Xenopus tropicalis: one gene and its partner. The protein of the gene in region 2 purifies or fractionates together with the protein of the main gene of each other region. This does not show direct contact. Links are inferred from orthologs where the notes say so. Each region holds a gene or a part of one and is shown on either strand. Other genes may lie near its edges.

Region 1 (3,500 bases), on a different chromosome or scaffold from region 2:
AAAGAGATGGAGCAGAGAGGGCCCCCTCCAGACTATCCCTCCAAGGTGAAGCAGATAGTCAGTCCCATGAACAAAATGCAAGAACAGGTTCATTATTACAATGAACAGCAACACCCTGGGGCTCAGGATGTAAGTAAGCCATTTCTAACCATACAGCCAGCCAGGAGTGAGGTCCTGCGATACCAGCACCCTCCCGAGTATAATATAACCAGGTAACTTCATAATCTGTTTGTCCCTTTGCTTGTGCCGTTACGTTTTTCATATTTCATGTTGAATAGACTGCATGGTGCTGATAAGTAACATATAGTATTTCATTGTATATCGTTACGTCACTGGCAGGTATGTTCCTGGTACATTGGGCTGCTGTATGGGTTGAGATATAGAGAACCTGTAAGACACGAGTCCCCCTCGTGTGTCCCCGGCTCAAACAGTGCTGCTACTGAAGTAGCCTAAATGCTTGTGTGCTGATCCAAATCTAGTTCTGTGCACACAAGTCTCATTGGCACATCCAGTTAATATATGGGAGCTGCATGGAGAACACTTGGAATGGAATGTATGATAGACCAGCATGGGGCTATTGTACATCCTTACAGAAACATCTTATACTCTGATAGAAAAATACCAATAAAATAGATACAGGTATGGGATCCCTTATCCAGAAAGCTCCAAATTACGGAAAGCCTGTCTCCCATTTTAATCAAATAATTCAGAATTGTAAAACTGATTTCATTTTTCTCTGTAGTAATAAAACAGTACCTGTACTTGATCACAACTAAGATATAATTACCCCTTATTGGGGGCAGAACAGCCCTATTGGGTTTATTTAATGGTTAAATGATTCCCTTTTCTCTGTAATAATAAAACAGTACCTGTACTTGATCCCAACTAAGATATAATTACCCCTTATTGGGGCAGAACAGCCCTATTGGGTTTATTTCATGGTTAAATGATTCCCTTTTCTCTGTAATAATAAAACAGTACCTGTACTTGATCCCAACTAAGATATAATTACCCCTTATTGGGGCAGAACAGCCCTATTGGGTTTATTTAATGGTTAAATGATTCCCTTTTCTCTGTAATAATAAAACAGTACCTGTACTTGATCCCAACTAAGATATAATTACCCCTTATTGGGGGCAGAACAGCCCTATTGGGTTTATTTCATGGTTAAATGATTCCCTTTTCTCTGTAATAATAAAACAGTACCTGTACTTGATCCCAACTAAGATATAATTACCCCTTATTGGGGGCAGAACAGCCCTATTGGGTTTATTTCATGGTTAAATGATTCCCTTTTCTCTGTAATAATAAAACAGTACCTGTACTTGATCCCAACTAAGATATAATTACCCCTTATTGGGGGCAGAACAGCCCTATTGGGTTTATTTAATGGTTAAATGATTCCCTTTTCTCTGTAATAATAAAACAGTACCTGTACTTGATCCCAACTAAGATATAATTACCCCTTATTGGGGCAGAACAGTCCTATTGGGTTTATTTCATGGTTAAATGATTCCCCTTTCCCTTAGGTGTTAGATCGTAGAAGGTTCATTTTTTATTTAAAGGGTAACTTACTGCATCAGAACCTACAGACTTTCTGGCCTCCAGTTACTAATTTGTACTGGTTTTGTGATGGATGAGGCACTTGTTTAGACCCTTGATGCTAAATACATGACTCCAGCATTGGAGAGGCTTTGTTTGCCCCCAGGGTTGCGACCTGGCTGGTAAAAATGCTTAGTGATGCAGTGCCACAACCACCCCCATGGTGCCCCTTGTTCATAATAGGAGATGGTGGCATCCCTCATTGGCTGAGGAAACAATATGGCAGCTCACAGATAAGGAAGACGCAAAGAAAAATCTTTATGTGCATATATGCCGGCCAGCCTATCCCCTATGCTATATCAGCCTCCCTATGGATATCAGTTGCTGATAAACCATGTTGACCATGGGAAATGCCGCTCAGATCACATTCCCTATAAAACTCAGTGTATTTCCCGTGGATCTGAAAAACGTGCCCGTCTCTTTCTCATGCTTGGAAACTGCTATATATATATAATTGGGATGGAGAGGTATTTGGGAAAAGAGAGCGTTTCAGCCTTCCAAGTGAGCGCAGCCAAGACCGTGGGAGTTGCACCTTTGGGAATATTTAATTGGAGCCGCCATGAGAAAAATTACAGGAGAGAAACAGAAGAGAGGAATATTTTATTGTTCTAAAGGGATGTATATATGCTGAAAATGCGTCTACTGCCAATATGGAAGCCATTTGTTTTCTGGAGAAGCGGTGATGAATGTGTCACCATGGACAACTAGGAATTTTATTGTTTCTAAATATACCGGGTTTGTAAATATTTAGCGTTTTTGTGGTTAAAAGATTAATTATATACAAGGAAGTGCTACCAGAAGGCACCACAGGGTCCTAACACCCATCTGTATGATACTTACGGCCAAGGTGTGACACCAAGCTCTTCTAGATATACCTGAAACCCATCTTCATGTCCATTTAGGGTCAGCTGAGAGGGGGGTGAATTTATTTGCTGTTCTAGATATGCTTGAATTTACACTACACAATATTTTCATACATCTGCAAGCTTGTGATGAGCTAAGGAGGGCCCAGGCCAAAGGTTGGTCATCCATGTGAGGCTTTAATGGAACAAATTCCAACCAAGTTAGTTATGTGAGAAGTTTGAGTGAGTGGGGTTAATTTACTGGGTACCAGTGAGTGTACCTATTCAGAATTAGTAATCCCAGATACAGAATGTGCTAATGAAACCCCTCTTTGGAAAGTTTTCCTGGGAGGTACCTGCTGGTAAGGAGGCCAGATTACTTACAAAAGTGCCCTAGTGCCCATAACGAGAGTCTGCTTAGGCAACACTGTCAGACTGAAGGCCTGTGCCCATGTGTTTCCAATATGAATATGTTCTTCACATCTGTATATCAAGCACTTTGTTCTGTTTGGACCTTCAGTGTTTCCCAGATGAAGTCCAGAAGAGTTAGTTGAGGGAAGGCAGGGAGGGGAGTGCCAAGGTCCATACAGTTGGGACATAATAAACTATATGCAGTCAGAAAGTTTTCACATTTTGTCTCACCATGTCCAGACACCATTTTTGAGTGTTAAATCCTTCTTCTAGATGGTGCTAGACTGCACCAAAACACAATAGAAAATGCCATAGACAATGCACCACCTGGTGGTGATTTTTTGTAGATTTTTCCCCCATGTTAACTGGAGAGACATAATGGGACAACATGGTAAAGGAACTTGGCTGCATCTGTATGTATGTTTGGCTGGGGCTAAGAGAAAGGATCTCTGGTCTTAAGGGGTTAAGTAGTGAAAGGCTCTACGTTTGCCCAGAAGCAGTAATCCATAGCAACCAATCAAAAGGTGGAATTTGCTGGTCACCTGTTTTAAAGTAAATATCTTATTGGTTGCTATGGGTTACTGCTCCTGGAGAGTGGCCGGGTTAGGGTTGAGAGTGGGCGGGTTAGGGTGAGAGCGGCTGGGT
Region 2 (3,500 bases):
GAACAGCAATACAGAGCTGTTTATTAGCAATCCCAGATACAAGAGACCTCAAATAGTAACAGAAGCCTGACGATGCTGCAAACAGCTTTCATTCCCCATTAGCACAATGACTTCTCACATGTTTAGTTAGAAAGTCATTCAAGCTTAGATATGTATGGGTAACACTATTAATAAATCATGAAATACCTGGCTCTACAGACAAGTCTTACCAATGCATCATTGGCCATCTGAGCCTCTTCTTTTAGCTGCAGCAGCCTTCTTTCCAGCTCATCCCGGGCTCTTTCCGCCTCTTCCCTCAGTTGTTTTTCCCGTGCCAGGCGTTGCCGTTCCATCTATAGAGATGCAACAAGTTAAAAGTGATACAAGGGACTACTAAGGCATAACAAGGATTTTTTTTTTTTTAACAAGTTTCAACAATCCATAAGAGTATAAACCTGTCTTTAAAAGCTGTGGCGCTGTGTTATTAAATACAACCAAACCTTAGAGTAAAAACTTGTCTCAGCAGCCACACCCATCACAGAACACATTATTATGGTTTTTAATATGCATTGTGATATGTAGACATCCTTAAAATTAATTTGAAATCACCGGCAGGACCTCTGCTGCCACCCTGTTTTCTCAACCTTGTGCATGTGTTGTTTATAACCCTATTATGCGGCTGTACTGAAAATGGTAGTTATTTATGAATTAAACATGAAGGTAAAACAAAGATCTGTCTCAGATATAGAGCTTTACAACTATTTATTTAGACTCATGCTTTGCAAGAATAAAATATTTTGTTAATTGCGTTTAGTTAATGAAAGCTCTGAAAGGGAGAAAAATAAACAGCGGGAAGAAGCACTTCCTCACAGTGTTAGTGTTTAATAATTAAAAATGCTATACTTGAACCTGTACTAACACTGACCCCTTGTGGTTCACCCTTGCAGTAAAACAGACCTGTATTCTAGTCAAGCGTAATCATGTGGATACAAGTCAATGACTTGTAGGCAGGGTGTTAGAATGTTACATGTTGTGAAGGTGTCACTGTGACATCCTTTTCCCCTTGATGGCATTATTAACATTCTTGCCTGGCTGCAACTGGACTTTACATTGCTGCCACTGAGGAATTTTAGAATAATTCAAACGTAACCTATTAAGGACACACAAGACCAGTCTTCTTTTCTGAAATTTCATAAGAATGACCACCATGAAAATTATTTAAAGGAAAACTATACCCCCAGAATGAATACCTAACTAACAGATAGTTTATGTTAAGTGACCTATTAAAGAATCTCGGCAAACTGGAATATATATATATATATATATATATATATACACATATATATATCAAAATAAAACAGCCAGCACCAAGGGTCTTTGTGTTTCAAAAAATCTCTCGTGTATTAAAATTGCATGTACAACCGACGTTTCGGTCCCTTTTGGGACCTTTTTACACACACACATATATATATATATATATATATATATAGCAAGACAATGAGCCGCACACGCAGGGACTTTTTTAGAAAACAAAAAATTTCTTTAATGAAAACGATCCATATATATATATAATCAAAAAAAAATCGGCACTCACCGTTTCAAGAGCACTAGCCGGGTGCTAACCAAAAAGTAAACAATAGATGTGTAGAAAGCACTCACAGCATATAAAAGTAAAACAAAAATGTATTTGTTTATTAGCTCATCGCATCTACGCGTTTCGATCCTAATAGGATCCTGATGACGATCCTATTAGGATCGAAACGCGTAGATGCGATGAGCTAATAAACAAATACATTTTTGTTTTACTTTTATATGCTGTGAGTGCTTTCTACACATCTATTTTATATATATATATATATATATATACACACCATTTAGTGATGGGCTGTGTGCTCCCTCAGAGATCACCTGACAGGAAATAATGCAGCTCTAACTGTAACAGGAAGTAGCATGGAAGCAAAAGCAGAACTCTGTCCATTAATTGGCCGATGTGGCCTAGCATGTATGTGTGCCTTGGCTTGATAGTGTGCACTGTGAATCCTATGATCCCAGAAGGCGGCCCTTAATTCCTTCTAAACTAGTAGTTTTCCTGAAGCAAATAGATCAGTAAAAGCAAAGCAACAGTACATTATATTTTAATTATTTTAAAACACTGTATCTGGTGTTATTGTTCCTTTCAAAGTAATTAAAACATAATGTACTGTTTACTCTGCACTGGTAAATTGGTGTGTTTGCTTCAGGAATCCTATAAATAAAACAATGCTGCTGTGTAGCCCTGGGGGCAGCCATTCAAGCTAAAAGAAAGGAGAAAAGGCACAGGTTACATAGCAGATAACAGACCAGTAGAATACATGGGTATTTTATCTGTTATCTGCTATGTAACCTGTGCCTTTTCTCCTTTCTTTTAGCTTGAATGGCTGCCCCCATGGCTACACAGCAACTTATATATATAACTATAGTAATGTTGCTAAAGCAAACACAAAACTTTTACCAGTACAGGGCAACAGTCAATTATATTTTAATCACTTTAAAAATAGGGATGCTCCAAATCCAGAATGGTCCTGGACAAACTGAATCTGAATCCTTAAAATCGTGTGACTTTATCACATAGACAAGGAAGGTGAACATTTTTCACTACTCACAGATCTTTTTACTTCTGTGCCTTTATTTGCATGTGCTGATTCGGGGTTCAGCTGAATCCCAAAATAGTGGATTTGGTGCATCCCTAAAACACTTTCAGTTTTTGGTGTTACTGTTCCTTTAACTGTTACCAGGCCCAATCTGGACCACTCAATGGGATATACTGACAATTGCAGCACCTTAAAGGGATTAGGGTTCATCAAAACAAGTGGCAACAAACTCTGCCACCCAAGGCAGTGATCCCCAACCAGTGGCTCATGAGCAACATGTAACTCACCATCCCCTTTGATGTTGCTCCCAGTCGCCTCAAAGTAGGTGCCCATTTTTACATTTCTGGCTTGAAGACAAGTTTTGGAAGCATATAGACACAGTTTTTGTCCAAGCAGAGCCTTGTGCAGGTTAGGAGTTCACATGGGCTACCAAATAACCAATCACAGGCCCTTATTTAGCATCCTTAAGGAACCTTTTTCACGCTTGTGTGGCTCACCAAGATATGGATGATAAGTAAAAAAGGTTGGAAATCCCTGCTCTAAGGGCTATGACACACTGAGCTATTTCCAGCCTACTACAAAATAGACAATACTTATTTTCTCTACATGTGTTTTAGCAGATACAATATTGAGAATTGTCTCTGCTAAAACACATGTAGAGGAAATCATCAGTACTGTCTATTCTGTAGCTGGTTGCAAGCAGCTCTGTGTGTCATTACCCTAAAACTTTAAAATCAAGTAACAAAAATGGTTCTTCAGTGCCCTGGGAAAAGTACCATTCTGAAAAAAGAGCTCAGACAAAGTACTGTGTAAAAAAACAACTGTATGAAAATTAGACTATGCTTTTACCATACAAAAACAATACAATAATATGCATATTATTCTCAGCAA

The links. Proteins that work in one complex are often made in the same cells at the same time.
Region 1: the proteins of nf2 (region 2) and amotl1 purify together in Homo sapiens (affinity purification with mass spectrometry; 6 studies listed by BioGRID and IntAct, counting the BioPlex papers as one, with this or other methods). This does not show direct contact. The link is inferred for Xenopus tropicalis from reciprocal best matches to the Homo sapiens genes NF2 and AMOTL1.

The regions. Positions count from the first base shown.
Region 1 is NC_030678.2:164,971,071-164,974,570, reverse strand, and holds part of amotl1 (angiomotin like 1), read left to right. Parts: coding exon 1-212; intron 213-3,500. UniProt on the Homo sapiens protein: Inhibits the Wnt/beta-catenin signaling pathway, probably by recruiting CTNNB1 to recycling endosomes and hence preventing its translocation to the nucleus.
Region 2 is NC_030677.2:144,769,172-144,772,671, forward strand, and holds part of nf2 (merlin), read right to left. Parts: intron 333-3,500; coding exon 210-332; intron 1-209. UniProt on the Homo sapiens protein: Probable regulator of the Hippo/SWH (Sav/Wts/Hpo) signaling pathway, a signaling pathway that plays a pivotal role in tumor suppression by restricting proliferation and promoting apoptosis.